Linked DNA regions of Caenorhabditis elegans. The protein of the gene in region 2 purifies or fractionates together with the protein of the main gene of each other region. This does not show direct contact. Each region holds a gene or a part of one and is shown on either strand. Other genes may lie near its edges.

Region 1 (5,115 bases), on a different chromosome or scaffold from region 2:
TCGTTGAGGAATTTACGGTCGTGAGAAACCGTCAAAATAGTTCCTTCCCAACCTTGCAAATGTCCTTCCAACCAGTAAACCGCTCTCATGTCCAACATGTTAGTCGGTTCGTCAAGCAACAAGAGATCTGGCTTCACGAATAGAGCTCTGGCAAGGGCAACTCTCATACGCCATCCTCCAGAGAACTCCTTTGTTGGACGCTTCTGCTCGTCTGGAGTGAAACCGAGACCATAAAGAAGGGAAGAAGCCCGTGCTGGAGCTTTGTCAAGTTGGAGAGCTTCCATTTCGATGTAAAGTTTTGAAAGCTCGTCATTCCATTTGGTTTTCTCGGCGTCATTGATATTGTCCTTGTTTATACGACTCTGAAATTTTAATTTTGAAAAATGAATTAATTTTTGTTCAAATTAAAAATATATATTTCAAGAATGGAATGAATTCAAATCAGACTTTTTTGTCATATTATTCTCATTGAATATTAATATCATTTTCTGAATATCTCACTTGCAGCGTCTTTTCCCTATCAAGAAGTGTTTGTCTCTTCGTATCTGACATCAAAACAGCATCCAAAACGAGTGTATCATCTCCTTCCACTTCCTGTTCCACAGACAGCATTGAAATACCTGCGGGGATCTTCAACTGTTGGCTTGAAATCATTTTAAGCAGCGTCGTTTTTCCGATTCCGTTTCTTCCAACCAATCCATATCGTCTTCCAAATGCCATTGTGACATCGGCACATGAGAGAAGTTGTTTCGTACCGATAGAAATATCCACACTTTCCAGTTTGATATCCTTTGAGTTGGCTCCACGGGCACCCGAGTCACGAATTGGAGCTTGGGAAGCCGTTGCTGATGGCTCATTCTTCTTCTTCTTCCGTTCAACAGGTGCATCTGCACGAGCTTCTGCTTTCGCTGCAGCACGATCTTCGGCCTTAGCAAGTTTCTTCTTATCAACGGTAGTTGGAGTATCTCTTGTTTGTACTTTCCAGATGCTTTGAAGAGCTTCAAAGTTTTGATTTTCAGCAGCCATGTCAACAGTTTGCTCGAGACGTTTCGTAGTTGCTTCCTGTTGTTTGATAGCCTTTGGAAGGTTGTCTCCGTGAAGTAGTTTCAGAAGTTGTTGACAAGCATTCTTAGCTCCAACCTCGCAAAGATTTTCCACGGAAGCTTGAAGATGTTCACCAACGGCATCCATAACTTCATCTAAAGATGTGATCTCATCGGAATTCTCTTTGAGAATTGCAGAGACATAGTCTTTGATCTCAATTGGAAGTGTGGGAAAAGTGGCCGTGAGATAGCCAGGAATTGCTTCAACATTTGCCATTATTTAATTGTTCAAGAAGAACTCGTAACCTGGAAAAAATTCATAACACACTCGTAAATAAGTTGCGTTTCTCGTATCATACCCAGCCAATTGAAAAAGTGAAAGACGATGAAAACCGGAATGAGACTTGGAATCAGAAGAAGATAATACGTTTGATCGGAGATGAAAGAAGCTGTTAGCTCGTCCACCAAGTGAGATTCCTCTAGCATACACTACGAGTCCTAAAAAAGTAAGGTTTTATTTATTGGGTGGTGGAAACTGTATCATTATCCAAATGACTAAAATATTAATTTAATAAATACATGTAAACTGCTATAAACTCGACCAAAAGCAATTTATTCATCCGAAAATACTGTAAATGTGAGAGAAAACTGAATAAAACGAGATATGCGTCAACAAAATCGCCATACACGCCAGTAATCGTCCTGGCGCGTTTGCAGTCTCTAACTTTTTTTTGTTGCGAAACTGAATTTTTAGCTGGATTTCTCTTCAACTTACACGTTTTGTTCATTTTTTGTTAGTTATATTTAGAAGCTCCAAAAGCCTAAACTATTCCAATTAGCAAATTCATTATTGTCAAGACAGCCTTCTGCCAAATAACTGCAATGAATCTCTGATACGCGCGTGACGTGTTGCGTCGCGTTTTCTTCTCATTTTCAGTAAATTCCAGCTAGTTTGCCACTTCCTATCATTTGTTCTTTGTGCACAGTAACTTTACATGTCATATTCGTTATTTGAACTTCACTATATTAGAAAACTGTGCTATTGTCGTTTCATTTTAGGCCGTTCAAAATAATTTTACTCTCTAAATGTTCCACGTTTCAGTTCCGACTCGCTTTTCACAACAACACAAAATGAGTGACGATTTGAGCGCTTTCTTTGCTAAAAAGAAAGACAAGAAAAAGAAGTCCGCCGTTAAAATCGAAGAAGTCGGTCAAGCACTCGAACGAAGAGCCAAGCGTCAAGAGGAGTATGAGCAAGAGTCGGAGGATGTTTCTGAAAAGCGGGTAGAAGAGGAGAAGGCCGTGAATCCTAACGAAGAAAGTGAATGGATTGAATACGGAGAAAGTCAAGGAAGGTTAGTAGATTATTCGCTCCGATTTCATTTAAATATCTCATTTATTGCAGACTAGATGGTCTGAAAATCAAAGATATGGGTCTTGAAAGTGAACAAGATCAAGTAAATAACGAAGAACCAGAAGATCGCGAGGTTCATGAGACAAAGACTTGGGGACAAGTTAGCAGTGAAAAGAAAGCGACGGAGGAGCCGGAACAAGCTGTGACGATCAGTGACAAAGCAATGGCTGCCGCTTACAAGCCACCTGCAATGAGAAGACCAGGAGCTCCGTACAGACCAAGAGCTGCTGCTGCAAATCTGGATATGGGTAGTGACGCTGCCTTCCCATCATTAGCGGATGCAAGCAAAATTGAGAAGAATAAGAAAGAGGAGAGCAAATCACCAGGAGGTTGGGTAAAAGCTGGATCCGGTGGAGCTTGGCCAGGAAGTTCGGGCCCATCTTCAAGTGGGTCTTCAAGATCGTATCCGACAACTGCTGGAAGTGGACGTGATAGTGCTCTTGCAGCTCTCAAGGTATGTGTCAAGGAAAAATAATTACTCTAAGTTTTCAAGGTTTTAAAACTATCAAAAATCATTTTTATTATTCTTGAAAATGTCTAAATTCAACGTTTCAGATGATGAGCGCCGCCAATCCAGCTCCAGCGCGTAACGAGCCAGCACCAGCCCCTGCAGCTGCTGCTCCAGCATCTTCGGGAGCTGCCAAGGCTGGATCGTACGTTCCTCCACATTTGAGGAAAAATCAATAATAGGCCCAACTATTTTCTTATTCTTCTGTTTTCTGTGTTCCCATTTCCTTATTCATTGTTTTTCTTTATTCTATAATATCCTTTTTTTGGTTAGTATTCTCATAATTTAGTACATTATTAATTTCGTCCCTATCAACTTGTTATGTCCCAAATTTCTCTTATCATTTCGTGCTTAAACGCACTTCACTCTTTATTGTTGCTCTACCAATTCTTGAACGACCCACAATACCCCGTGAAATTTATAGGGTAGTTGACAGCGGACGGTGTGGTTTGAGAATTCACGTGAATCGAATTTTGGTATCTTTTTTCGAAATCTTATGCATTTCGAAGGTCGTCTCCTATTTTCGGTGTCACGCCAAAAATCTCAAATCCGCCTGTTTCGCGTGTCGTCGGTTACGGTTTCAACGAAAGAAAGTTTCAAAATGTTTTCCCCATGAGCACTTTGCTCTTTTTCTACTTGTGCTATTTATACAAGTGCTCTATCATATTCTCTTTGCCCAATTCCCTTTCGGATTCAATCATGGTGTCTTTTTCTTTCGTTTCCCTTTTTTCTTTTTCATATAAACGTTTATACATTCCCAATGTGCTCGTCTTTGTTATCTTGCATGTGTGTTTTCAATCCCAGATTATTATTCATTTATTCAAATTATAACGATGAGGAACTGTTACTCGGTGATCACATTGCTTCGTACATTTCATTCTCGTTGGTTAGGTTCTCGCTGCAAAAAAAATTAAATGTAGGTTCATTGAATAGTTATTTGTAAATTTCCCCACTTTTCAAATCGAACTCGGCTTTTCTCTGAGCCAACTCGATGTAGATCAGGTTCTCAGCGCCCAAAATATCATGATAGAGGTTCGAACTGCCGTCGAGATCGTCAAGCATCTCTTTTGCGCGCACGTATCTGAAAATTCCAGTCGTGCGCGTAATTTTTCAATAAATCACTGGAATTTGTTTTTCAAAGAAATATTTAATTTAACTCTAGTTTTAAAAGGCACATTTTTCTCTTACCTGTCCACATAAGGTCTACCATGAGCTCCGAGGCTTGAGTAGTTGGTCATCATTTCGGATGACGTGGAAAGTAGATCTGGGCGCCAGCTTTTCAGCAGATAGATAAACGCAGTCTCAGTAGTGCCAGACGGAAGTTTGATCTGAAATTTTCATGTTTTTGAATGAGAAATTCCCCATTTTCAGATATGTTTTGTAAGTTGGTATTGTTATGATTCAACAATGAAAAATAAAACAAACGGTCGAAGACGTTTACATTTTTTTTTGAAAATTTCGTGTCTACTTTCTACAGTAACCCGCGCTGTCTGAATGAGCTCATTCATATTATCTATTCCATAAATATCCTAAATCAATAATTATAGGTTCCTTCATATACACTTTATTTTAACTTCCTCTATATTTTTCAGCCAAAAAAAACACCAAGTGGTCCCAACCATTCATCCATCCAAGTCAAATGTGCACACCCATCTCTTTTCGGTTTACACTCTGTCTGTTTCTCTAAATCTCTCATTCTTCATCATTGTCTCTCCTTCTTCTCCTTTCTCCATTCTTCTGGGTGCCTCTAGGCCTTTCTCGATTTTCCATTTCTTCACGTAGTTTTCTCCCAGTTTTTCCGTCGGTCTTTTTTCAACTTCAGAGAGTCTACTGATTCCTGTTTCTATTTTAAAGTGCTAGTGATAAATGTCTGAGAGATATTGGTCACATTTGACCTATTACATTCGGCTCGGTCAGATTGAAGTTTCAAGGAAATCAGAATATTTCATTTTTATATTCCAAGAATCTACTCAACCAGATGATTTATTATGTTCATTAAAAATAATAGGATTGGTTTCTCATTGATATATTATTCACCATCTGCCCTTTTTATCAAATCACAAAAAATCATTTTTATCTTTAATGTCTAACTGTAAGTACAAAAACGTGCAAAACTGAAAAACTTAAAATTGAAAGTAATTTTCGATTTT
Region 2 (4,839 bases):
GATACTCATCGTCTGTCGATTGGTATCTCCAGTTTTAAAGGTTAGTGGAAGAAGGTTATATTTTTGTTGTGAAATAATATTTCAATGACATCACGAAAAAGCTTAGGCATACATAAGTATTTATTAAACAGGACCATGACTTACTTTATTTGTTCGGAATGTTTTTGAAACCAGGAAGACTTCTGAAAATTTTTTATTGTTCGAGATTGTTAGAATTTCATAGATCCCAACTGTACATGTGAAATCACACGGTACCCGGTCTCGAAACGACGATTTTTTGTAGAATGCGAACAGGTGCGCGCCTTTAAGGTTAATAAAAAATTGCATTGATGAAAAAAATCTATTGGAACATTAACATATAAATTTTAACACATCGTGAGAAAGACTAGGAAAAATCTACGATATAATTCCACAGCAACAAGAGTTTGCAACTACAGTACTCTTTAAAGGCGCACGCCTTTTCGCATTTACCAAATATTTGTCATGTCGAGACCAGGCACAGTATTTTTCCACAAAAAGTCGTATAGATAATACGTTTTCATTAATAATTTTATAAAGATGATTACATTTTTAATTTTAAAAAGAATAAGGTTTCAGTGGCCATCACTAACTCGTTCGCGTCGTTTCCTGCTCATTCTTGCGGCCTTTGGTCTCTTTATTCTCTGGGCAATCCTCATTGGCCTTTGTCTCTATTATCAGGTATCTTCATCATATCTGAGTCTCTTTGAATCTTATTGTTTTTAAGGTGATCAATGACTTCTGGCTTAGCATTTTACATGCTTTCACTGGATCTCTTACTGTCCAAATTCCAAGCCCCGCACAAATTACAACTTGCGGAATCCTGTTCTTGAACTTTGCTGCTACCATTTCGGTTTCTCTTCTTATCCTCATTCTACTTGTCTCGTTTTCCGTTTTCTTCCCAAAAGAAAGTGAGTTCAATTAAACCATTAGTAATTTAAATATCCCCAAAATATATTTTTCTTCAGTGCTAATTCAAGAAGTTGACAATGGAGTCGAGGAGAAGCTGGAGCGCCTCACACCACCACCAAAGTTCCAGGTCATCGTAGATGAAGCTGGAGAAAGCAAGCTTACCTCTGCCTAATATCTTAACTTTTGATAATTTATTTCGTGCTTATTGCTTCTAGATTTTCAATTTCAAAACACTTGTTTCTTTAATGCTTATGCAACGATTCTGCCACTTTAACTTTATTGCAGTGAGAGGTTGGATAAAACAATGTTAAAACTAACAAATACCTGGAGAGGGGAATCCGAATTAACTTAAACGGAACGATAGGAAAACCCCAACACCAGGGAGATGATGAGATTCTTTTTTTGATGAGGGAATTATCCAATATTAAGAAAAATCAAGATGGGATCAGCTTAGAGACAAAATAGAATTGTCGAAACATCGGACAAGTACATTTTTAATGGATTTGGTCAACATGTACAGATTGATGATAAAGATGTTGATTTTGAAACGGGGAATTTGAGGAAGGATGAAGTGGCATTTGTTGTTGGGAAGCAACCTATTCGGCGGCGACAGCTGGGGCATCTCCAGAGGCTGCGACGTCAACCTGCAAGGGAAATCGAATTATTGACAATGACATTGAATATTAGTCCCTAACGGAAGATGAAGCGATTCATAAAGAATTCATCAGAACTGCTCGTGTACATCGCACACATTACGCCCCGATATATCCCATAATTAGTGCTAAGTCGCATACGCCTATCCTATATCTTTTTAGAATGCCTAATTAGATTCCTGCCCTTCGTTCTCACCTCATCCTCAACCTTGCTTTTCTTGGTCAATGGAGCATCCTCCTCTGCGTCGGCGACTGGAGCCTCTTCGTGGGCGCTGGACACACGCTTACGATCCTGCAAAAATAAAAATTGGTCAACAAAAATAATATATAACTATCTTACGTTGCCGTTGGTGTCCTTTGCTTCTCCGTTCTCGACTGCCTTATCCTTATCGGCCTCTTCAGCCTCAGTCTCATTCTTCTCCTCGGTGGCCTCAGCTTGAGTCTCCTCTGTCTTTTCACCGTTCCTACAAAAATAGTATAAATTGTAGAGAAACGGATTAGTGCAATCTGTTGCCTGCTCACTACCCTACGCCGTATTTGTTTTCACCATTGCCGCCTGTCTTCTTTATGGCACCATGCCTTCTGCACACTGCACCAATACACATACTATGAACAAATAAAAGGGCATAGAAAGAAATATGAATGACCCCTCAGTTTTTCACAGAACAGTTTCTACCATTATGACCGTCCCACATTATTCACGTCTTACGAGTGACCTCGAAGGAAAACACCACTCAACGCCCGCGCGCAGATGGATACAAAAAAGTGGCTCGCGATTTCCATAGAATTGACCTATATACTACAGTTTTAGAAAAATGCACAGGTAAATCGCAAATTATGAAACAAAAACTCACTGCTCACTGGTCTTCTCATCAATCACAACGACATCGTCCGATCCAGTCTCGGTTGGCTTCTCCTCGACTGGTTCGACAACCTCTGGCTCTTGAGCGACAACAGTCTCGGCAACGTCGGACATTTTTCTGTAAAACAAATGTTAATGTAGTGCTGGTGAATAAATCTGAATGAGAAATAGAAGAAACATTTGAAAATATCATTGAGTTTTGAGAAAAAAATATCGAGTTATTGTATTAAAAATCTGCTACTGAGGAAAAAATTTTTTTTTAATTTAGATGTGTTGTCGTTTCAAAAACACAAACGATGTTCTAGAAAACTTTTTCCTAGGAAGAGCGCGAACAACTCTATCGCGGAAAGAGACATCTTATTATTTGGCTCTCGCGCCTCACAGGGCCCGGCGCTGCGCGCCCGTCCACCGTCGGCCTAGTCTGTGCCTGACACTCACGCAACGCTCACTGGACAGCTAGAGGCGGCCGGCTGGTCGAAGGAAGCGGTGTCCTACTCACACTCCTCAACAGCGGACGAAACGAAGAATGAGGAGGGGAGGAGAGCCTCAATGCGATGGCCGCGAGTTTCGAATTGCCTCGTCGCCGGCAAGAGAACGAGAGGACGACAACGAAACGGCCCCGCCCCAAACGTCGGCTGCGCAAGAGCCTCTCGTCGACTGCTTTCTTGGCACTGTGCCAAATTCATGCTTCGTGCGGTGTGAATTAATCTAAACAGTAATTATCAAAACGCGAGATTTAGTAAACATTAACTGTACAAAACTAACGAAAAGGGGCAAATACACACACACCGACAAATGTTCGACGAGATTTTTCAAGGAAACATCACTCGCAGGCTTTCAAAATTCGCCTTTTTTTCGGTTTTTGTCCTAGTTTGCAACTCTTTTCAATTTAGAGAATAGAAAACGATAAGCTTTTTGTTTAGAAAACTCGAAAATTTGCGTTCTATTTCAATATATGAGTATAAAAATTAGCTCGAAAATCTCGTAAAAGGTTTTTTCTAATAATAATGACTATAAAAAGTACAACGGCAATTTCCAGAACAGTAAAAATAACAAAGCAGTAAATTAGCCCAAAATTGCGTTCGACCTTCAAATTCCCCAATATTGTACAGTAGTTGAAGTAATCGTGGTGAGACCTGTGTGAATAATACCATGTGCCTTTAAATATTTTTAAAAAATGAAGGAAGTCTCCGCTCGGTTTTATTCGGGAATTATTAAAATCAGAACAGCTCTGAGGATGAACAAATATTATAAAATAGAAGTGGTAAATGAACAACAGTAAACGGTATAAAAACACAATTTTAATCCTTTGGAGATCCTGGAGACGGAGAGCGAGACACACTGCGATTGCTGCCATCTCGGCTGTGACTTCTTCCACGGCTCACGCTGCGCTTTCTATCTCCGCCGTTCTGAAACCATATGATTTTTACTATACAAGCACATAAATGAATTACCTTTGGGGGAGATCCACTTCGGGTTCTGCTTCGATCTTTTGCTGGCAGTGGTGAACGAGATCTCGACGCTTCACGCTTCCTAAAATATAATTCTTGCATTTAATAGAGTCGGAATCTAAAGGACTCGAATACGAAACCGATATGTTTGCGCGAAGTTGTCTGATTCAAAGTTAGGGATCTCACTCTTTTAATCGAAACAGCGGCTTTTGGTAACTGTGGGGACTGAACGAGAAGTGAATTGAAATGTATTGATAGTTGACCCATACTGTGCTCGAACTGTCTCAGCTATGTGTATGCCATTGCGATGTGGGCTTGTAGGTGATATTGATTTCTCATTGAACTGTGGCTAAAACGGTTCGTGATGTGGCACCCTTCCAAAACAATCCACACATTAAAGTTAACTTACAAGTCTCTTTTCGGGCTCGGCGAACGGGATTCGCTTCTGCGACGACTTTCACGAACTGGTGATCTGGATCTGGAGGAGCTTCTGGAACGGGATCTGCGAGAACGTTTGCGATCACGAGAGCGGGAACGTCTTCTTGGTGGAGTACGTGAACGACGTCTAGGAGAGCGGGAACGTCGTCGTGGTGATCTCGATCCATGACGGTCATTGCCGCGTGGTTTTCCGCGAGCCATTTCCACGACAAGGCGCATAGAGCTGAAAATAAAAAGTTAGAACATTTTTAATTTTGGTTTATTATTTTATTACCTTCCTTCCATGGTTTTTCCATCCAAATCATGGCATGCGTCTTCAGCATCACGAGAATCTTCAAAATCGACAAAGGCAAATCCATACTTCATTGAGATGTTATTAATTTTGCCATATCCTTTTAAGAATCGCTCAACGTCGCGTTCGCGTGCATTGTATGGAATTTTTCCTAGATAGAGGCGCGGCATTTCTGGAAAATCACTTTATATTCAAAAATTAATTTATTAAACG

Evidence for each region. Proteins that work in one complex are often made in the same cells at the same time.
Region 1: the proteins of T28D9.1 (region 2) and F42A10.5 fractionate together in Caenorhabditis elegans (co-fractionation; one large-scale study listed by BioGRID). This does not show direct contact.

The regions. Positions count from the first base shown.
Region 1 is NC_003281.10:6,169,831-6,174,945, reverse strand, and holds F42A10.5 (Protein CDV3 homolog), read left to right. Parts: upstream 1-2,145; 5' UTR 2,146-2,174; coding exon 2,175-2,398; intron 2,399-2,448; coding exon 2,449-2,911; intron 2,912-3,012; coding exon 3,013-3,144; 3' UTR 3,145-3,724; downstream 3,725-5,115. Other genes in the region: abcf-3 (ABC transporter domain-containing protein), read right to left, coding at 1-362, 502-1,320; F42A10.9 (Gamma-glutamylcyclotransferase family protein), read right to left, coding at 3,821-3,863, 4,154-4,293.
Region 2 is NC_003280.10:6,490,126-6,494,964, reverse strand, and holds T28D9.1 (uncharacterized protein), read right to left. Parts: upstream 2,564-4,839; 5' UTR 2,560-2,563; coding exon 2,438-2,559; intron 2,181-2,437; exon of another isoform or gene 2,048-2,180; coding exon 1,924-2,047; exon of another isoform or gene 1,876-1,923; coding exon 1,780-1,875; exon of another isoform or gene 1,575-1,779; coding exon 1,527-1,574; 3' UTR 1,187-1,526; downstream 1-1,186. Other genes in the region: twk-49 (Potassium channel domain-containing protein), read left to right, coding at 1-40, 598-699, 746-929, 987-1,102; T28D9.11 (uncharacterized protein), read left to right, coding at 2,972-3,157; rsp-5 (putative splicing factor, arginine/serine-rich 5), read right to left, coding at 3,747-3,854, 3,900-3,978, 4,306-4,557, 4,609-4,796.